3 linked regions of the Alligator mississippiensis genome follow. The protein of the gene in region 1 interacts with the protein of each later gene in a biochemical or structural test. Links are inferred from orthologs where the notes say so. Each region holds a gene or a part of one and is shown on either strand. Other genes may lie near its edges. The genes, in order: SRPK2, LUC7L and RBM15.

Region 1 (7,549 bases):
CTCTTTCTATTTCAAAGTAAATGGTTACAATCCCAGATGCTTTCCCAGCATGAGATTTTTGCAAGTCTCAGTTAACAGAGGAACCAACATATACAGTACTTTAACAGACACATTCATTTCTTTACAGTATAAGATTTACTGTACATTGAATGGATTCCACAAAAACTTTTGGCATCGGCTTTATTCATCAACACATTAAAAATATAAACATTAGATGAAGAGGTGTCTCAGATATTCAAACATATCAGAAGCTACAAATTACATATATTAAAACTGAAATATAATTACTTTCTGTAAAATATAATCTATGTATGTATGAAGACCATTACACATACCCAATAAGAAAAAGGAAGGGGAGAGGAAGGGAAATCAACAACAGGCTAGATCAGTTTTTAGACTGATATGGGGGAGCCTAATGGGGAAGCCTAATTTTTCAAAGTAGGGGCATGAAGTTACCCTGATTAGCTAATTTTAGATATCCAAGTTTTTAAAATGTTTGAGCTTAATACATTGCAGAACTGTATGGTCTTTCAGGCTGGCAATGAAGACAAAATGATGAAGGCTTATCCAAAGCACCACAACTCAGAAGACAACTATTTATCAATTTTACTCATAGGACCCACTGTCTCATGTTGACACCATATTCTGAGTAAATACACAAAAATGACACTAGGTGGCCCAGACAGGTTTGCTCACTGTAGGATAACAAAAGTGACAATACTGACAAATGGCAGCAACATACCATTTTCTAGGTACGTGTATACATAAAATCAAGTTATACAATATAGATAAGCCCAAGAATATATTAATTGTCTGGATATTTTTTGTCACAAGAAAAGCTGTATCATTTCCACCCATGCACAGGAGGGAAATATAGGTACTTTATTTTCCCTGGCAATTGTATTCCTCACCACCGCAAGAAAATAACAGCATGATCAGCCTTCCCTTGCATTGTAGTATTGCACAAACACTTCAATCAGTTGAGCTCCAATATGTTACATGCTGTAAAAAACAAAAACAACAAACAGCAAACAACAAAAAACCACATCTGCAAGCAAATTTGATTGAGGGGACGAGGAAAGGCACGGGGGAGGAGGCAAAAAAACAAAAAAAAAAAAATATGTTTTTCTCCTGGCTTCTGCATTAACTCTAAAGTTCAAGTCTGCATGTAGACAAGAGCCAAAAGTAAGTGAGCTACCTTTTCCAGGGCTGTGCTCTGGAATACCAAGGAAAGAATAGCAAACCAGCATGTTTACTACAAAGCAAGTATGTCTCTGAACACAGCCTGTGTGCAGAGATCTGTTCATTTCCCATACTACTTTTCAAAGGGTAGACCTGCAGTTTAACTGGTACAACTTCTGTGTGCAACTGTCTTAACAGCTTTGATTAATCCTTTGCCTAACAGACTAGGGCTGATAAAAAGCAACTTGTATACATCACATGGTAAATCCATGTATTTTTCTCAGAACCAAATATCTGGCATAACTTGCCAATAGTAGCACTACATAATGCTTTTCTAGCCATCTCTGCAACTGAGGCTCAACCACCAACCTTTGTAGGATTTCACAGACTTCATCATGATCGAAGTCATAACATGGACCCCTCCTTACAACAATCGCTTACCTTCTTACTTCTTCCCCTTCCTTCCTCCCTAGACCAATCACTTACATTCTACTTCTCCACACCACAAAATCTTAGGAGATCTTTTCTGCTAGCTCTCATTATCAACTGAAAGGATCTACATCTGGCAAGCACTAAGCGCCCTTCACACCCTTACATTAACTATTGAGATGATGAAAACTAAACAAAAAAAAAAAACGTGGAGGTAAAAGTTCTTGCTTTGTTCAGTTTGTGCGACTACCTTAATAAGCGATGCAACCAGTCTGCCAATAAGTTACAATGCAAAGAATTCTACCAGGCAATCATGCAATTCCCTTGAAGCAGACTGTTAATGGGAGCAGTGGATGTTGGTTGCTGTGCTGACCCTTCCTGCCGTGACTGAAGGATAGTACCCCAGCAGAAATAAAGTTCAAATGATAACATTAGAGTCAGAAGCAAACAAGCAGGTGTCTACTCTGAATACCAACCTTGGAGGATTAAAAGCTAAAAACAACCCTGACTTTTCATGATTTTGTTCTGTTCCTCTCACGTTTTTCTTTGTCGCTCAAGAGCAGCATGAGACAGCAGTGTCTGGCTTCAAAACAAAGCAGGGGAACCTAAACCTTTGTTTTGTTTTGTTTTGTTAAGGCTGATTTTCTTTCTAATCCAATCGAATACCAATGTCAATTAAATTTTGGCCACAGATCATTCCTTATATCATTCAGAAGAGCGACACATCTCAGACTCCCGCGCAAAGATCTGAGCGTTTGGGACAGTCAGACAGACGAGGAGGAGAGAAAGCAGAAGAAACCGAGGAGCCAGCAGGCCAAAAAAAAAAAGAAAGGGGGGGGGGTCTTCTGTGGCCCAGGCACCCGACACCTTGCTGCCACCGTTTCCTGAGGCAACCAAAAGCTGGGCGCCGGCTCTGGAAGTGCCAACTCCGCGGGGCAAGGGGCCAGCACTCACTCGCCTGAGGGGCGCTGGGCACTTGTCTCCCCCAAGCCCCTTCCCCTTCCCCTGCCGAGGTGCGCGGGGCCCCGAGCCCTGAGGGCGCTGTGGGAGGAGCCCGGGCCGCGGGCCCCGCTCCTCAAGGAAACTTTCCCAGGCCGGAGCGACCCCCGGCGCCCGAGCGCGGCGGGACACCCCGCGGCCCCGCACTCACTTCTTGTGCTGCGCCGGCTGCTTGTCCCTCCGCGCCGCCGCCACGGGCTGCTTGGGCCGCCGCCTCCGGGCCTGCAGCGCCAACACTGGGGAGACACGGGCGGGTTAGTGCGGGGGGGGAGGGGGAGCGGCCCCGGCCCCTGCCCCTGCCCCGGCCCCTGCCCCACGACCGGCCCCACGGTACCTTTGCGGGAGCTCATCGCTCTGCGCCGCTGGGCCAGGCCCGGCGCACGAGCGGAGCCGGAGCCGAGGCTGGAGGCGGAGGAGCAGGCGGTGGGAGCGCCGGGCACGGACAGCAGCCCCGCGAGCGCTGCGCAGGCGCGGCAGCCGGCACCGGGGCGGGGCGGGGGCTGCGCTGGCGCCTCCTGCCCCCGGCCTGGGAGCGCGGCGGGGGTGGAGGTGGGGGCGCGGGTCCTGCTCGCATCGCTGGGGACCTCGCGCGTGGGAGTGCCGCGCCGGGCGGGAGGCCGAGCCCCCGGGAGCCTCCAGCCGGCGCCTTCCCCGGGCGTCCCCCGGCCCGGGCGGGCAGGACGAGCGCTGCGCACGTGGTGCCCCGCTGTTTCTGCTCGGATCGGGGAGCCCACCCTGAAGCAGCCTTTCTCAACCCCTGGGCCCAACATCTAGGAAAGGGGGGCAAGCAAAGTTTTTGGAAACGGATCCACACGCTGTAAAAGTGGATTCTCTTTTAAAGGAGGAAAAGTTTATCGGGGTGCTCGCCGGGATCTGGATCTGTTCACCCCAAGGAAGGGGTGACAAGGTCGAAGGGTTATAAACTCCTGCAAGACCATTTCAGGCCCGACACAAGGAAGAATTTCCTTCCTGTCCGAGCCCCCAACGCCTGGACTAGCCTGCCGCCAGGGGTGGTTCAAGCACCTACTTTGAATGCCTTCAAGAGACATTTGGACATTTATCTTAATGGGATCCTATGGCCCCAGCTGACTTCCTGTCCCGGGGGGGGGGGGCTGGACTCCATGATCTTCCGAGGTCCCTTCCAGCCCTAATGTCTATTCAATCTATGAGAAAGGCGGGGGACCCGTGGGTTTTCTCTCCCAGGCTGGCACAGTTCCCACCTGCAAGGGGCTGCCTGGGACCCCTGTGCACTTGCCCTCCCTACCCCACATGCCCACACACTGAGGGGCACTGGGTTGGGACTGGCCATCAACCTTTACAAATGGGTCCTGGTTAGGGTGGCCATTTGTCCAGTTTTATACAGGAGAGTCTGGTTTTCTGGTCCTCCGTTGATAGGAAAACCAAGTGCCTTTACGTTCTCTATTTTTCATCACTCAACACCACCCCCTCCCTGCTGCCAACACCACGGTGACCACCTACGGGAGCTCCCTTCTTGGCCTGACCCCACTGCAGACACCGCTACCACTGCCTGCAGGAGCTCACCACTCGCCACTACCCCCACCGCCAACACCGCTGCCTGCGGGACCTCACTGTGCCCTCCAGCCTCGGGAGGCGCACCACGTTTGTGGTAGTGGGGACATCTATTTTTGAGGTACCTCGTGGCCACCCTCGTCCTGGTACAAAAAAGGTTGAGAACTGCTGCTGTAGAGAAGAAAGGGCACACGGGCTTCTTAGCCCACAACTCCCATGAGGCACCACCGCGGCATTTCTGAATATAAACATTCAGCGAAAGAGAAAAACCCAAAACTCAGCATTCTCCAGGAGCATAATAAGCTTTTCAGTCAGTTCTACTGCTTGAGTATAGGTGATCTACTGCACCAGTGCATTAGGCATCTTCGGGCAGGTGAGGTTCTTTGGGTAAATCCAATATCTTTTATTAGACCAACTCAAATAGTTGACAAAATTCTTCTTTGCAAGCTTTCAGGTACAAATACGCTTTGTCAGGCTGAGGAAGCATTAGGCACACAAGATGATAGGAAGGTGTTGTCAGCCAGTGTTCATTGGTTCAGTAGGTCAAGTGCTTGAACACGGTGCTGCAACCCAGAAGGCTCAATGTTCAGACACTACAAGTGCATGAGGGTGGGAGATTATGGATGTGGTGCATAATATAGTCTTAAAAATGGCACATGTTTGTTATAAGAAGTCAAACACTGAGCACTTAGAGTATTTAAAACTTCCAGTTTTAAATTCTCGGTGCTCCAGTACTCTTCCTTGTATATCCGTTTAGGGTCCCCTTTTGGAGTTCTGCCTCATTCCTGAAATACCTCATGCAGTATAGCTCAAAAAGCTTCTGGTAATGGACAACAACCAGGTGCCTGCTAACAAACAGACGAGCTGCCCTCAATAATGTCACCTGTGTTTACTAACATTTTGCCAATATTAGTAAAATCTAAAGGAGTCCCTCCTGTGACCCTCTTTTTCTTTCTTCTGAAAAGTTTCCACACTTTTTGGACACTTATTCGAACATTCCCCCCTGACACTCCTCAGTGTCAGTAAAGCAAGGTTTCTCCCCACATTTCTTGGTGAATGTTTATACAATACTAAATAGTAGTGAGAAGCCTCTAGATGTAGATTGATGCCATGTTGTTAACTCCTGGATATTGATTTTAAGTCGTCTTTGTTGTTTTTCTTAAAGCCTCTGGATTCATTCAATTAGGATTTCAGGTTTAATTTTAAAAGTCTATTTCAATATACTTCTGCACACCTCATGGTTGCAGTGAATAACATCAAATTGCTAAGACTCCAATACCAAAAGGCAAAGAAAAAGAACCACTAATGTATTTATTATTGCTTTAAATTTAATCATTCTGAAGAGAATAACACACATGCTTTTAATGCTTGAGGACACTGCAGTTAGAAAGTACTGTAATTACCAAAGTTTAACACAATTGTTTCAAGCTTACAAAGCGGCTGGGTGACTAACAGATATACATATTATATGCAAAGGAGGCCTGGCCCCTCTAATCAGGCTTAGAAAGGTCAGGGAAGTCCTTTCAGGGGTGATTGTAGGATATTTCAGTCATAGATCAGGGGGCCCAATCATACTTTCAGCTGTTCATGAGCACTCCCATTTATTTCAGTGGGGTTGGGTATGGGACAATTGGGTCTTAGATGTGCAGCTACAAAGGGCTTTACTCATATGAACAGAGTGATAAAGTGATTGCCAAATCTGGAGTCAGGAAGGAATTTCCCTCAAGGGTATAATGTCAGCAATATAAGCAGCATGAGAGAAGTATCTGGTATTGCACAGAGAAGGAATTATTTCTTAGGATTAGGTGGGTGTTTATTATACAATCAATTTATTCCTGTTCCAAGGAAATGGACTGCATTTTTCCTGTTCTGTCTTTCTATTTTCTGAAGAGGCTACTCAAAAGATCTGTGTAATATGCTCACACAGAAAGATAATAAAATAAATGGGAAAGTCTTTACACATGCACAAAGGATTCTTATGTGCACTTATCTAAATTAGTAGGTAAATATAATAGCTGTACAATCTAAACACAAAGGATGTTGAGATGATGACGAGGGCCCTAGTTTTGCAAATGCTTAAGCATGTGTAAAATGATACTTATGGAAGTAGTTCAGCTGTATCAAAGGGACTGCTCACATAAAGTAGTTATAAAGTGTTTGCTAGGATTAGGGCCTACATTTGGAAATGACAGAGAAAGGAGGCCAAAAATATTAGATTAAATTTCAGACAAGGTAAAATGGTATTAAAAATTACTTATAGGGCTAGCCTGAACACAAATGTGTACAGAAATAATTACATGTATGTTTTAATTAACTTATTTTGCTACTTCAGTGCAAGTGTATATATGCTTCCTTTTCCTTCCATCCTATTTTGTTACCTTAAAAGAATGTTTTTAAATTAAATACTGCGCTCAAAAGGATGCACAGACTGGAATGAAGTATTTGTAACAAATAGATAAAGTAAATTTGCAACAATGGGATATAACAGGATTACTTTCCCCTTCACTGGCTGCCTTTCCTTGAACAGAGTATCTGCAACAGAGGTGTCTGGTTTTGCTGGATTATCAAGGAGTTCATTTGCTGTAGGGACCAAGTTTCTAGGCTCAGGTGGTTTGACTTGCCCAATTAGTAGGGACAATAGAAGGCAAGAGTTATTCTTTCATTTTGCGTGGCTGTGAACGCAAATGGGAATGGAAAGGAGAAACATACAAGCTGTGAGCTGACATTTTACCTGTTTATTATTATGCTCTACAGTGCAGTTTAGACCTGACCTCAAAAAAGTCTTAGTTGTTTCCTTTTCACTTGACCTAGAAATATGTTCCTTACATAGGAGGTTTCAGCTACTCTTATGGAAATTGGGATGCATTTTTAAGGAAAAAAAAAAACAAATCTAGCAGTGGTCTTGTAAATATGGTGATGTCTGCTTCTTTTCTGAGGATAATAGAAACCACTTCTTGAGCAAAGGGATCCTTGAAGACTTTGGCCTGCAGTTCTAATTTATGTTCCTGTTTATCTCTGTACTGCTTTTCTCAGTGGGCAATATTATGCTCTATGAACCACATGTTCCCAAAAATCAGGATGTTAGCCAATTTCACCAACATGCTGCTGCTCTTGCACAGAATGGAACTAACAACAAAGAACGCAGTGGGGAGGAAAAGAGAATACAGGGGTTGTGAAAAGGAAAAATAATACAGAAAAGGAGAATTTGCTAAAGATAGCAGAGTTCTTTGTAGCATTCAAGTACCACTCTCTTCCTCGCCTCAATGCTTTCTTCCTTTCTCTTTATTTCCCATATCCATTCCATGTTTCTTAACAGTTTGATATATTTGTGCACATACACTGAAAAAGAGTCTGTTTGTTTATTGTTCGTTTGAAATTATTTTTGGGGGGCCGGATTTCCTGGCTACAC
Region 2 (7,333 bases), on another chromosome or scaffold:
CAGCAGTCCAGAAGATGGCTCTTGCAGACACGATCATCAGTAAACTTCACCCTTTGTCTGGTTTCATCTCCTGAAATTCAGGTGTGGTTTCAAATAAGAAAGCATTAGAATACTGATAAAAGCATGAAGGTGTTGGTATGATGATTTTGCCTTAATATGCGGATTAAAAAAAAAATACTTCACCTTCCTGTTCCCCAAGATTGTTTGAAAAAGCTGAGTTATGGATAAATTATTCTGGATTTTTTACAACTGGCAACTGAAACATTATTTTTGCATCTATACATCGAGTATATCACATGTTAAATGGAGTGCTGGCAAGCCAAATAGTGTCTATCACCTGTCATCCATGTAAAGAGACAGCACAGCCAGAAAAAAAAAAAGAGAGACAGACAGACAACTTGGCTGACAGCCATAATGTTTTGTGCCTTTTTTTTTCCCAATATACAAAGAGTATGTAGGGGACAGGAGATACTAAAACCCATGCTATCAGAGGGCCATGAATCACAAAACAGGGCTGTGCTTGGCAATCTTTACAGGCAACTGCTATTTACTAATCCAGTAACCTAATGCATCAGTCCAATTGGTTTGGGCAACCAAATTGTGTAGTGTGTTGTCCAAGGCCACGTGAAAAATGAAGCTTGTAGGTATTGGCCTGGAACATGAAACATGTACTTCCCACCCACCTCCCACCCACCAGAAGACATACTGTACTTGGGAGCCACTTAAACAAGACAATATCAGAAAAGCAGAAAAAGGAAAAAAAAAAAAGAAAAAAGAAACAAAGTTAGTCAATACACACTGCGAGCTCCAACACATACTATACCCATCTGCATTCTTCAAGACCTCAGCTGTAGAATTTTATGCCCACTGTTGAAAAGTTTTAAAGGAAAAGTTTTCTTGCCCACACCTGCAGTAAGGAAGTCAGGGGAATGATACATAAAAGTAAAGGCAAAGTGGCAATGGTATGTGACAATTTTAAAGCTAATCTGTGTATATGACACAGGTATGTGTAATACTAAAGTATGAATATAGTTTAGGATTTGCAAGCATCCAGGATTAATGTAGTGTCTATTGAAAATGTTTTCTTTCTTTCTTTTTTTCTTTCTTTCTTTCCTTTCTTTCTAAGCTACACTTTTAAAGTTACTCGTGAGGAAAAAGCAAACACTTTTTTTGTTATAACAGCTTTAAAAATTGGTTGTGACTCACGGCTCGATGAACATGAGGCTTTTCTGCAACTCCCTTGCAGATTGATGTAGGCAGGCAAAGATACACTGAACCTTTATAAATAAAATAGAGGGGCCACAATTGTTCAGTTTGTATGAAATAAAAATATGGGAAGCAATTCAAAAGCAACTCAATACACAAAGAAAGAAAAAGCACTTATTCACTTACGAAACAAAGTGCAAAATACCTGGATAGCCCTGCTAAGTGTCAGAGTGCGTTTAAATAGTCAATAACTCAGTAGAAGAGAAGATACAAACCATAGCAAGAATACAGTTTTGCACAAGATGCGACATTCCTTTTCTTGGGCAATATCTAGGAATACCAGTTTCTAAACACAAACCTACCTATGTACACTTCTGTGTGAAAGGTGTTGATTAAATGCAGAGCTTTTGCTGTGGGCCCCCCGTTGGAAAGCCTCTCCAAATAGATCAACATGAAGTCAGGAAAGTTGAGACTTTCAGCTCTCCTTGCAAGTGCAACAGTAGAGCGATGGGACACTCAGGACTATATTTTCTGTGAGGGAAGCCTGAGTTTTTCTGCACTGCAGAACTAGATACCAAGGGTATTTTCTGTTGAGGTTTCCAGGTAGCCTCAGAAAAAGGCTACAAAGACTAAAACGTAGGCTTACTCTACTTACAGCAACTGCAGTCCCAGAACATTGTTTCTGGACTATTTTATGGGCTTTACTATAAATATACTTTTGTTGGGCGGCAGCACCTAGACAGAGGAGGAAACTCTGAGAGGGCCCAATCTTTCAAACCTAGGCTCCTTAGTGAGTCAGCCAAATACCAATTGTGGACACTCAAAGTTGACACAGACACATGCAGAACAGATGCTCATGCTCAAATGCTAAACCCAACCACTTGGAGGTGAGCTGTGGATAATCTGATAAGGAGCCCATGTTTGAGAACGAGGCCTGGATGCTCAATGTGTCCTCACCGGTCCTGTGCGAGGACAGGAATGGAATAACAGCACATTTTAAGTCTGACTTAATGCACGCAAATGCTTCCAGCTGCTGGCGGTTCTAGACAGATCATGACAGGCTCTAAACATCTCAGCAGAGGGTCCGCACAGGGAGCATCAAGGGTGTCACCAGCAAGAAAACCTGACACTGACACCGGGCCTCTGCTGCGAGAGAGGGCAGCAAGAGATCGGATTGTGTGTGTCCCTGTTTGGGGCAGAGGATCAAAGCCAGGGCCCAGAACACTAGCTGCAGGGAAGAGAGCAAAGGGGCTAAGGCAAGACCTGGGAGTCAGAGGTCCTGCCAGGATAATGGGGTCAGAGGAAAGGGGTCAAGAACCAGGCCCAGGGTGAGCCGACGTCCCACGGGCTGAGGGAGAAGAGGGAGGGTGCAAAGACCAGGCTCAGGAGGAACCAGCGCTCTGACGGGGAGGCAGCTATCCTACAGCGGCCCCTGCCCGGCCCGCCAGGAGCAGAAGGATCGCGACTCGGGCACAGGGCCCTACTGGCGCCCCAAGGGGCTTGAGGCGGCCGGGATCGGGCCCAGCGCCAGCGCCAGCGCCGCGGACGGAGGGGACGGAGGGGGGGCAGGCCCGGCGGGAGGATGCGCAGAGCCGAGGCAGGGATCGGGCCCGCGCGGGGAGTGGGCAAGGCCCAGGGCCGGGGCGGCCCCGTCCCCGTCCCCGGCCGCGCCCGCCCGGACCAGGCCTGCGCGACTGCCAGGCCGCGGCGCTTCCTGCAGGCCTCGCCGCGCTACTCACCGTCCCGGGCCGTGCCCATGAGCTGGTCCAGCAGCGCCCGCATCTGGGCCTGGGCCGACATGATGATGATGATGACGACGAAGAAGGCGGCGGCGGCCTCTCGCTGCGGGACCCCCGCGGGGCAGGCGGGCGGCGGCTCCGGCTCCGGCTCTCCGGCCTCTGCTGGCGCCGCGGGGGACGCTGGGAGGAAGCGGCCCCGCCCTGCAGCGCGCGGAGGCCTGGGACATGGAGTCTAGCCGAGCCCGGCCTCGGCTCCGCCTGCCCCGGTCTCTAATGATCGTACTGGTAGGATCGTTTCAACCCTGGCGATGTAGGTAGCCTAGCCAAAGGAAATGATCTGGTGAGCAACGTGAATATTAAAGGTAGCCTGGACGACAGCAACCTTGAGCTCGTGAGGTTCCCTGTCTGCCATAAGGCAGACAAATCAACCAGCGGAATTGAAGTCCTGGACTTCAAAAACACAAACTGCAAGAGGCTTAGGGCATTAGTAGGGGAGGCGATGGGGGACCAGGGACCACAGGCAAATGGAGTGCATGAAGAGTGGTTGTTCTTCAAGGACACAATCCTCGAAGCACAAAAAAAGACCATTCCCCTGCAGAGGAAAGGTAGAAAGGCTGGCAAGCCCTCTTGGCTTAATAGGGATATCATGGTCCTCTTGAAAAAGAAAAGAGGCATACACACAATGGAAGCTAGAGAGAGTCCTCAAGGAGGACTATACAACAGCAGTCCGCACATGTAGGGAGAAGATTAGGAAATCTAAGGCAGCGACTGATTTTAAGTTAGTGATGAGAATCAAGGACAATAAGAAGTCCTTCTGTAGGTATGTAAGCAGTAGGAAAACAAATGAAAGTGTGGGACCCCTGCTTAACACCTCAGGACAGCTGGTAACAGGCACTCAGGAAAAAAAATGAACTCCTGAATGCCCACACTGCTCTGGTATTTCACTGGACCAAGGGGAAAAACATGCTAGATAAGCTTCACAGGGGGCGTGGTGGGAATGACCGCCTTCCTACTGTTGATGCTGAACTTGTGCATGACCAACTAGAAAAGCTAGACATTTATAAGTCAGGAGGACAGGACAGATTCCACCTGAGAGTACTGAAGGAGCTGGCTAAGGTCATTGCGGGACCCCTGGCAAAACTTTTCCAAAACTTGTGGTGCTCAGGGGAGATCCCTGAGGATTGGAAGACAGCCCATTTCACAAGTTTTGCCTGTCAGCAGCTAGAGGTGCAGGGCCCCAGAACCCAGAAGTCTCTGCACCTATCTCCTTGACAACTGGCAGGCTTCGTGGCCTCAGCAGGGGCTAGCAGGCCTGCAGCTTTCACCCTGCTGCACCTTAACACACACACTGTCACCCATGTCACGAGTTTTGCTTGTCCTCAGCACGAGGTGTAGTTTCCCCCAAACCCCTGCACTGATCTCCTTGAAACTTGGCAGGCTTTGTGGCCTCAGAAGGGGCTAGCATGTCTGAAGTTTTGACCCTGCTGTGCCTTAACACATACACGTGACATGAGTTTTGCTTTCAGGATATAAGGGGTGCAGTTTCTCCAAACCCCCTCTACCTATCTCCTTGAAACTTGGCAGGCTTTGGTGCCTCATCAAGGGCTACCATCCTGGCAGCTTTGACTCCACTGTGGCTTAATACGTACATGTGACATGAGTTTTGCTCTCAAGACTTTGGGGTGCAGATTCTCTGAACCCCCTGTACCTATCTTCTTGAAACTTGGCATGGTTCATACCCTCAGAAGGGGATAGCATTTCTGCAAGGTTCATCCAAATCAGGCCAGAAATGACAAAGTTATAAGCTGTTTCAACCTTCCCCATTGCAGCCTATGGGCGAAATGGCAAAACAGCCTCGAAATGGCAAAACATTTCTACTTGCCTCGTTTTGTTTCGAGGCTGTTTCGACCATGTCGGTTCCATTTCAATTCTGCTGTTTTGACCTCGAAACAGGTTGAAACAGCATCGAAACAAAACTGGTGGCGAAATTTCGCACAGCCCTACTGTTCCCCAGGGCACCCTTGGGGAAAAACAGGAGTAATGGCCGCAGACTCCTGGAAGGCCTCTTCAGGCTCAACTGTATGAAAAACTTCTTCACAGTCATGGCGTCTACACTGTAGAATAAACTCCCACAGAGGTGGTGCAATCATCTACCCTGGAAATCTCCAGACGAGACTGGACAGTCAGCTTACTGGGGTCACCTGACCCTAGTTGTCTTTCCTGCCTAATGCAGGGGGACTGGACCCAATTGTGGAATCAGAAAGAAATAAATGCCTTAAACTTTGATCATACGAGTTATAAGATGACATAACCGCATTGTGGGGAATTGCTGGCTCTGTAGAGTAGAACTGATAAGGGAAAGTGTTTGTTCTTTGTAACTCCTCTGCAACTGCTTCGCTCACCGTGGCCTTGAAGATAACAAAAAAGTATGTACAACTCTGATTTCCAGGTGCAAGAAGGGAGTGTTATTTTTCCCTTTGTCTCCCCCCATAGTTCCCATCCTGATAACAGCAAAGCAGTATGAGGTAATGTTTGTAGCTGCTTTTCTAGCTAATTCCACTATATGATCACATGAGTTGTAAGCGACTGTTAAAAAGTATATAAGCCTCCTGCTTTTGCTCTTGGGGGGAACCCCTTCCAAGTGCTTGGGAAATCCATGTCACTTTGGAGTCCCCCCTACAGCTGTAGTTTCATTTAAATAAAAGCTTCTGCTGACCTGACCCAAAAGTATGCTGCGTGTGTTTCCACGACGGTTCCTGGTGCCGTGACTCGCATCCAGAACACGTGTTGAGGAAGGAGGACCGCGGACTGCCCCCCGCCCCCGAACCCGAGGCACCAAACTTGAGAGGTAAGAGACCTAATTCAAAATCTCTATTGGGTTTCGGAGGAGGACTGCCCGTAGGCTCCCAACGTGACCGTGGTAACTGGATCTGAACCTTGTTAAAATAGGTCAGTCTGAACCTTACTGCCGGCTAAATTTTCTGTCTGGTATTCCTGTCTGGTAACGTACATTCTGTTCAGGGAGAATCTGTCTGAATCACCTCCATCCAACAGCACATTGGGCTCGCAGTTAGTTAACCGAGGCAATGTGGGAGGGGGTCTGGCTGACTGAATGTGTATGTGTATTTAGAAATCGGATTTAGAAATCGGTTGGACCCAGACGGTAGTAATTGATGGAAGTCACTCATCATTGTGTCCTGTGACCAGTGGGGTCCCCCAAGGCTCTGTCCTTGGACCCATACTGTTCAACATCTTCATTAATGATGTGGACACTGGAGTCAGAAGCGGACTGGCCAAGTTCGCCGATGACACCAAACTTTGGGGCAAAGCATCCACACCAGAAGACAGGCAGGTGATCCAGGCTGACCTGGACAGGCTCAGCAAGTGGGTGGACGAGAATCTGATGGTGTTCAACGCCGATAAATGCAAGGTTCTTCACCTTGGGAAGAAAAACCCGCAGCATCCTTATAGGCTCGGCAGTGCTATGTTGGCTAGCACTATGGAAGAAAGAGACTTGGGGGTGATCATTGACCACAAGATGAACATGAGCCTGCAGTGCGATGCTGCGGCTAGTAAAACGACCAAAACGCTGGCTTGCATCCATAGATGCTTCTCAAGCAAATCCCAGGACATCATTCTCCCCTTGTACTCAGCCTTAGTGAGGCCACAGCTGGAGTACTGCGTCCAGTTTTGGGCTCCACAATTCAAAAAGGATGTGGAGAAGCTTGAGAGAGTCCAAAGAAGAGCCACGCGTATGATCAGAGGTCAGGGAAGCGGACCCTACGATGACAGGCTGAAAGCCCTGGGGCTCTTTAGCCTGAAAAAGCACAGGCTCAGGGGTGATCTGATGGCCACCTATAAGTTTATCAGGGGTGACCACCAGTATCTGGGGGAACGTTTGTTCACCAGAGCGCCCCAAGGGATGATGACTAGGTTGAATGGTCATAAACTACTACAAGACCGTTTCAGGCTGGACATAAGGAAGAATTTCTTTACTGTCTGAGCCCCCAAGGTCTGGAACAGCCTGCCACCGGAGGTGGTTCAAGCGCCTACATTAAACACCTTCAAAAGCAAACTGGATGCTTAACTTGCTGGGATCCTGTGACCCCAGCTGACTTCCTGCCCTTTGGGCAGGGGGCTGGACTCGGTGATCTTCCGAGGTCCCTTCCAGCCCTAATGTCTATGAAATCTATGAAATCTATGAAGTCCAACCTCCTATCATGGCAGGAAAGAGCACTGGGGTCAAACGACCCCAGCAAGGTGTTCATCTAGCCTCCTCTTAAAGACCCTCCCTCCTCTTAAAGGGTAGGAGCCAGCACTACTTCCCTTGGAAGTTGGTTCCAGATCCTAGCCGCCCTGACTGTGAAGTAGCGCCTCCTGATGTCTAG
Region 3 (7,609 bases), on another chromosome or scaffold:
GTGAGGCTGGCTAAGGCTGTATCCCATAGCACCTGGCACACGCTGGAAGGGCTGCGTGGAAGAGTAGGCAGGGTTGGGTACAGAGAACGAGGGCTTTAGGATGCACCACGAACAATGATCATGACCAGATAGTCGTCCTGTGATTTGGCCAGAGCTTTGGCCGTGGAGTCCAGGAACTGTTGGGAGAAATCGCAGGGTGGGAAGGCGTGCAGAACCCCGCTGTTCTCCTTGTCTTTGTTGCCTCCTACAGGGAGGCTGATGACCCCAGCAGCCTGCTTTTGCTTTAGATAGGACACCAGATTCCTGAGTGGCCTCTGGGTAGAGGTGGTGGCAGCCTCACTGGCCCCAGATGAGGAGCGGTTGTCTGATGTGCCAGGCACTGCCAGGAGAATGGCATATCCATTGGGACCTGCCACCTTGATGCGGCGAGTGACCTCATCCAGCTTGGGCTGGTCCAAACGAAGACGCTGAGTGATCTTGAGTTGGGCCACTTTGCCACCAGTTGATCCCTCCACCAGAAGACTGCTGGCTACACCGAGGTCTCCCTGAAGCAGGTGCATGTTGGACGGGAAGTTGCTATTCTTCAACAGAAGCATCCCCTGCCAAGCCAGGCACAGTTTGGGGGCCGCAGCAGACTGCGATGTTCCATCCTGCTGTTGCTGCTGCTGCTGCTGCTTTTGGGGTGGGGGTTTGAGCCGGGACCCTCCACCACTGCCCACTTCTGTCGTGCGCTCATCCTTTTTGGCTGGACTCTTGCACTCCTGGGCAGCAACTACCGCTGAGACACGGTGCTTCCTCTCTCTTTCAGCAGAGTTCTTGCGGTCACGCTTCTCACTCTGGCCACGCTCCAGGCTGCCCCTGCGTGACTCCCGAATTGGTGACGGCCGCTCCAGCAGGAGCAAACGGGAGGAACGCTCTGCATCACTAAGGTAACGCTCCCGGGTCACACCAGGATCAGGGCTGCGGTCTGGGGGAGAGGCTGCAGCCAGGCAATGTCGCTTACGGGACGAAGACGAGCGCTCGCTGTCTGGAGAGCGGTCCAAGTGCCGGCCTCCATCCTCAGCCAGTCTCCGTTTCCTGGGTTGGTCCCTGCTACTGCTACCCAACTCCCTCTCCCCTCGGTCTCTCTCCAGGGACCAACCATCCCGCCGACGCTCCAGACTTTCCAGAGGGTCATAGGCAGCTGCTCGATTACTCCTGTCCCGTACAGGGGGTGGCGGAGGCACCCACTCCGCCTCAGGATAAAGGTCTCTGTCCCGGTCTCTGTACAGCAACGGTGGTGTCCTATCCCGGGCACCCCGAAGTGGGTCAGGTGGGGCTCCCCGATGAGCCCCAAATGCAGCTGCCTCTGCCACTAGCTCATAGTGGGCAGGTGGGGGCAAGGGCAGCGGCTGCAGGTATGGCTGCTGGTAGCGATGCTCCGTGTCCGCAAAGTCCACTCGGAGGCGGCGGTCGGGCCCACCCAAAGGGAAACCACGCATGTGGGTGCAGGCAGCCTGTGCCGCATCCAGGCTCTCATACTGGATGTAGGCCCACGAATCACCTTTCCGATAATCAATAGTGCGGATGGTACCAAAACGGTCAAATTCCCTGGCCAAGGCAGCCAGTGGCACCCAGGGCCCCAGGCCCCCCACCCAGAGCCGGGTGGTGGGGGTGGCTTTGCCATACCCGATTTTGATGGGGTTGCGCAGAAGAACTTTGCCCGACATGGCGAGCTTGGCCCTGTGAGCCATGTCCAGGTTCTCAAACTTAAGGAAGCCGTAGGTGCTGGTCTGGCCGCGGCCCGGCCTCTTGATGTCCACCTCCGTGATGACTCCAAACCGGTCGAAGGCGCGCCGCAGGTCCGACTCGCTCACCGTGATGTCCAGGTTGCCCAGGAACAGCGTGCGGTTGGCTCGCTGGTCGTCCTCGGGGCTGATCTCCTCCTCGCCGGCCGCTCCGGCACCCCCTCCTCCTCCTCGGAAGCCGCCGGCGGCCGCCACGCCAGCCACCCGCTCCAGCCCGTACGCTGGCCGCACGCGGGTGTCATAGAAAGCCCCGTAATCCCGTTCCCGCTCCAGCTCGCGGGGCAGCGGGGGCGGCGGCGGCAGGCGGCCCAGGGCGAGCTGCTGCAGGCGGTAGTCTCTGTAGCCCAAACCGCCCCCCCCTCCAGCAGGCGACAAGGCCCTCTGCGTGGCGCCGGCCGCGGGGTGCCGCACAGCGGCAGCCGCAGCCGCCACACCCGCCACCGCGGCCACGTAGGGGGACTCCTTGTCCAGCAGCGCGGGGGAGCGGCTGCCGCGGCGCCGGCCACTCCCGCCGCCGACGTACACGGCCTCGATCTTGAGCGGGCGGTTGTAGAGCACGAGGCGGCCGCGGGCGTGCTTGGCGGCGCGGGCGTCCTCGGGCCGGCGGAAGTTGACGAAGGCCACGCGCTCGTCGGCGGCGCCGGTGCCGGGCGGGAGGCGGCTGATCTTGACGCTCACGTCGCCGAAGCGCTTGAACTCGTGGAAGAGCCCGTCCTCCACCGCCTCGTCGCTCAGCGCCGAGCCCAGCTCGCTGATCTTCAGCGTCTTGTACTCGCCGCCGCCGCCGCCCCCCGACTCGGACGAGGAGGACGAGGGGGGCGGCGCCGCCCGGGACTCCCCCCCGCCGCCGCCACCGCCGCCCCGGCTCCCGCCGCCGCTGCCCCGCGACGACTCGGCGTTCTTGCCGCTGTAGCCGTGGCGGCTACTGCCGCCGCCGCCGGGCGCCGCCCCCGCCTCGTACTCGCGGCTGCCGGCGCGGCCCGCCTTGTCCGGGTGCAGGCCCCGCCGGCCGCTCTCGCCCGAGCCGCCCGCCGCCTTGCCGCCGCCGTTGCTGCCGCCCGCGCCGGAGCCGCTCGGCTTCTTGCTGCTGCGCTCGGCCCGCGCCGACGAGGAGGAGGGCGCCGAGTCCTCGCCGCCGCCGCCCCGGGACCGCTTGGCCTTGGCCGGGGAGCGCTCCTTGCCCTTCATGGCGCCGAGCACCTCCGGGACGGCTTCCCTGACGGACGGACCCGCGCTCACGCACGCGCCGCCATCTTGGAACCCGCCGCGGAAATGGTCCCCGCCCCCCTGTCCGCCATTGGGCCACTCTATCCTCCCCCGCTGCTGCCGTTGGGCGCTGGTCTTGTCAGTCCGGGAGGCCCCACCCTGGCCGCTCGTTGATTGGGTGGCTGCGCTGCCTCTCTTCGCTGTCTCGTGCTCGGGTGGCTTGTGAGGGAAGGTCCCCCCTTTGGAGGCTCTGATTGGCCGCTGCGGGGTTCTGATTGGGCGAGCCGCCTGTCAATCGTAACGGTTTCGGGGTGAGACCGTCCTACCCCGCTCCTCCGGCTCTCATTGAGCGGAGAGCGGCGGGGCCTCGCGTCTCTGATTGGTGAGGATCCGCGTCATTTCGAACCGGCCTGCTCTGGGCGCCGGGAACCCGCCCCTGCCTCTCATTGGTCAAAAGTCGCTTTGCCCCTTCTCTGTGACTGGATGGGGCTTGTGTCCGTCGGAGCAGTTCAGCGGGACAGGCCGTGACCTTACCTCTCGTTGTGATTGGCCTACCGCTCTCCCGTCCCGCCCTACCAATGTGATAGGCTGAGCCGCACGTCCCTCCGGGATAAGCGCGGGATGCCGCCGGACCCTGGCCCTTCGCCCTCATTGGTTGATGAAAATCTCCTTATCGATCTGATTGGATGGAGGTGAGGAGCCTTCTGATGGGCGGGGGAGGGTGTCAGTCACGCCGAGAGTTTAAGTAATTGGCTTAGGGAGGATGCGGGGCGGTGCTTTTTGGACGCCAGCTCCAAAGTAGGGGGCTCTCGCTTGCTGCTCCGCTTTCTGTTCCCATCACGGTATCCTGCCTCTGGTCTTCAGCTCTGCTTTCCGCTCCCTGCGCCGTATTCCCCTCCCTGCTGATTTGCCACTCGACTTTCTGCTCCTTTCCCTACTTCACTGCCCAAGACACTGGCTCTGCTTTTTGCTCTCTGCCCTGGGGGTCCTCATGCATTCCACTCTGCTGTCTGCTCCCTGCCCTCTCTTCTACAGCTCCAGCCTCTGCTCTGCTGTCTGCTCCCTGCCCTCTCTTCTACAGCTCCAGCCTCTGCTCTGCTGTCTGCTCCCTGCCCTCTCTTCTACAGCTCCAGCCTCTGCTCTGCTGTCTGCTCCCTGCCATCTCTTCTACAGCTCCAGCCTCTGCTCTGCTGTCTGCTCCCTGCCCTCTCTTCTACAGCTCCAGCCTCTGCTCTGCTGTCTGCTCCCTGCCATCTCTTCTACAGCTCCAGCCTCTGCTCTGCTGTCTGCTCCCTGCCATCTCTTCTGCTCCAGCCTCTGCTCTGCTGTCTGCTCCCTGCCATCTCTTCTACTGCTCCAACTTCTGCTCTGCTTTCTGCTTTCCACCAGTGTGCCGCCTGTCCCAGTCCAGTCTCCCACGTGCCCCACACAGAGGCTGCCCGCACCACTTGCCCCCTGCCCTAGACTAGACAACCTCTGAAACCTCTTCCAACCCAACGGCTCTATGTTCAACCTGACATTTCATAAACCAATGAACAAAACCTGCCGCACCAAGAGATGGGAACCCTCCCTTGCCAGGATCCCTGGGAGGAAGAAACAGAGGCCATTTTTCTAAGCAAGAATTCTCTCCACTTGCCTGGAGAAGGCCTGAAATACCCGGCTCTGCCCTGAAGAGTGGAAGATGTGGAGCTGGCTTATTGCAGTGATTCTCCACCAGGGTCTCATGGCACCCTGTGGTACCCTGAGATCCTTTCAGAGGGTGCAGCAGGGTGCCACGCCGTGATAGTGCTGTTAGGTTTGCAACCATGAGTCACAAGATAAGCACAGAGATTTCAAACCGAGATCCACGGTTGGGGTCTTTCGGAGTTCTTTGCAGCAGAAAAAACTCTTTTATTATTTTTCTGTAGTCAAAAAAAAAAAGTGAAAACTAAACTGGCAATTTGTGACGGGTGCCTCAACTCTATTCCGCGGTGAAAAAAAAATGTCTCCCAGCAGCATCTCACGTCAAATCAGAGGCGAAACCAATGAGATTTCTTTTAAAGGCATTGTACTGGCATTCAGGCAAGGTGGCACTCTGCCCTGCCTTCACCTTCTCTTTCCAAAGAAGCTGGTGTCATGTATGCAACAAATTGCTGCATATGTGATGCCAGCTTAAGACAGGAATTCCTGTATGTTCAAGACAGAGATTCCTGAAATGGGGGGGGGGTTCAAATGTGGAGCTAAATAGTTCATGAATTATGGTAGTTTGGAGACAGGGGTCATGTCTTCACGTCCACATTTAATGAACAGTAGCCCAATTTAAGGCACATTAAGGGTGCGCATCTACACGTGCGCACCCTTAATGCACTCTGAAAATGGTGATTTTAGGCTATTTAGGCATAAAGCTGTTTTTAGGCTATTCCAGCCTAAATTTGATACATGCATAAAGCAGGTATCAAATTTACATGTGAATAGCTAAGACATTTGCGCGCGTGTAGACATACTAATGCACATTCATGCTTCTACACATGTGCTAATGCAACTCAGCTATTCACACCTACATTTAATGAGACTTAATGTGCATTAGCATGTCCATGCGTAGACATGCACCTAAGTCATCTTAATGCACCTTAAGCAAAGATGCATTAAGTTTAGGCAGGGGTAAATACACATGTAGACAGGATCAATCAGAAACATATATTGGGTGTATGCTGTGTCGGTGTGCATGGACATTGATGTCTTTTACTTAGTTATACCATGTTATCCTAAGATACATCAAAGACGGACACATATACTTAGTTGCACATAATCATATGGGAGACAGGCTGATAAAGATTTAATTATGCAGGGGTAGATGAAAGACAGAGAGAAATATATATAAAGGGCCATACTGGGAGTCATAGAAACAAGATAGGGGTTATAATGTCCAGGGCTTCATGGATTTTCAAATCACATTGGGACAGTCACCTAGCTGCTTTACCACAGTAAAACTGGCCAAAAACTTTTGACAAACTTTTTTCCATCAAAATTGCCGTTTCAGCAACACTGAAAAGTTTGGTTTGGAAACAGGATCATAAGAAAGTAGAGCCGGAAAGGACCTCGCAAGGTTATTCAGCCCAACTCCCTGCTCAAAGGCAGGATTAAACCATCCAGCCAAGTGTGGGTCCAACCTGATATTGGAAATTTCCAAGGAAGGAGATGTCACAACTTCTCTCAGGATCCTGCTCCAATGCTTGCACACCCTCATGGTCAGAAAGTTCTTTGGATTCTCCAGCCTCAATTTGCTCTGCTGCAGCTTGAGGCCACCGCTCCTAGTCCTGTCTCCTAAAGCCACAGGCTAGGTGTGGGCCTTCAGTTGCTGACTACTGGACTAAGGTGTTTCTTAGACTGCTTTGGGTTTGTGGATGAAGATGTACTGTTTTAAATAAGCTTAGCTAAATCTTACTGGACTGTGACATTTGTAACTTCTCCATCCTCTCACCCTTCATGGATTTGAAGACTGGTATCAAATCCCGCTTCAGTCTTCTCCTCTCCAGACTAAATAGGCTCAGTTTTTTTGCCTTTCCTTGTAAGTCTTGCTGCTCAAGCCTCTTATTATTTTTGTTGCCCTGTGCTGGACTCTCCAGTCTGCCCACATTTTGCAGGAAGTTTTCTCAGGTCAAGAGAGTTCCCCTTTAAACCAGTGGTTTTCAACCTGTGGTCCGCAGACCCCTGGGGGTCCCCAGGCTATGTCTAAGGGGTCCATGAAAAGGGGATCAATCAAAAGTATGTGAATACCCCCCACTTACAATTCAAAAAGGTCCACACCTCCAGGTGAAATTTTTTAGGGGTCCACAAATGAAAAAAAGGTTGAAAACCACCGTCTTAGACTGCTCTGGGTTTATGGTTGAACATATGCTGTTTTAAACTTGCTTAGCTAAAAGTTGGCAAACTTGCATTTGTAACTCGAATGAGGGGTGAGGTCATGTGACAAGTGTGTGGGGAGGGTGTGGGGAAAGGGAAACCATAGTGTGGAAAATTACAGAGACAGTCCACATGATCGCTACAGAGTATAAAAAGTCCCGAGGTACCAGGATGATCCGCAATCCATCAAAGGAGCTGCTGGAGTTTGCACCTTGAATTCCCCAGCTGCCCGGTGAGGACTGCCTATCCAAACTGGGACAGTACAGCTGACAGGTAATCAGGGAATTGCTTATGGTTTGTAATTAAGTCTCATGTTAGAATTTGCTGTAATAAACTGTTTAGCTTTAAGAGGCTGGCTGTATTCTTACCTCTCGTTGACGCCAAAAGGGTTCAAACCAGTGATTAGGACCAGCGATTAAAAATCTGAATCTCCCACATCCCAGGTGAGTATGCACATCATCAGGCTATTGGCTACTTAGGAGTGAGTGCTTCTCTCTTGTTCACACACTCTCCTGGGTAATTATTTATATATTTTTTTGGTTTTATGCAGAATTTCACAAGATGTCGATCTTGTTCCCATCTGGAACAAAAACAAATGTTGACCCTCCAAACATTGCTTTTGCCCAATGCAATTCTTGTTTTCTGACTCAGTCTCATTTGGACATGCATTGAAAATGGGTTTCAAGGGAAACCATGAAATACTTTATTTCAGCTAAAAGGACAAGACCCTCAGT

Evidence for each region.
Region 2: of the proteins of SRPK2 (region 1) and LUC7L, one has a biochemical effect on the other in vitro, tested with the Homo sapiens proteins (2 studies listed by BioGRID and IntAct). The link is inferred for Alligator mississippiensis from reciprocal best matches to the Homo sapiens genes SRPK2 and LUC7L.
Region 3: of the proteins of SRPK2 (region 1) and RBM15, one has a biochemical effect on the other in vitro, tested with the Homo sapiens proteins (2 studies listed by BioGRID and IntAct). The link is inferred for Alligator mississippiensis from reciprocal best matches to the Homo sapiens genes SRPK2 and RBM15.

Annotation. Positions count from the first base shown.
Region 1 is NC_081827.1:26,456,757-26,464,305, forward strand, and holds the start of SRPK2 (SRSF protein kinase 2), read right to left. Parts: upstream 3,074-7,549; 5' UTR 2,961-3,073; coding exon 2,945-2,960; intron 2,849-2,944; exon of another isoform or gene 2,847-2,848; coding exon 2,762-2,846; intron 1-2,761. UniProt on the Homo sapiens protein: Serine/arginine-rich protein-specific kinase which specifically phosphorylates its substrates at serine residues located in regions rich in arginine/serine dipeptides, known as RS domains and is involved in the phosphorylation of SR splicing factors and the regulation of splicing.
Region 2 is NC_081836.1:22,862,621-22,869,953, forward strand, and holds the start of LUC7L (putative RNA-binding protein Luc7-like 1), read right to left. Parts: upstream 3,092-7,333; 5' UTR 3,007-3,091; coding exon 2,946-3,006; intron 1,278-2,945; exon of another isoform or gene 1,207-1,277; intron 71-1,206; coding exon 1-70. UniProt on the Homo sapiens protein: May bind to RNA via its Arg/Ser-rich domain.
Region 3 is NC_081837.1:34,888,665-34,896,273, reverse strand, and holds the start of RBM15 (RNA-binding protein 15), read right to left. Parts: upstream 3,064-7,609; 5' UTR 2,976-3,063; coding exon 96-2,975; 3' UTR 1-95. UniProt on the Homo sapiens protein: RNA-binding protein that acts as a key regulator of N6-methyladenosine (m6A) methylation of RNAs, thereby regulating different processes, such as hematopoietic cell homeostasis, alternative splicing of mRNAs and X chromosome inactivation mediated by Xist RNA.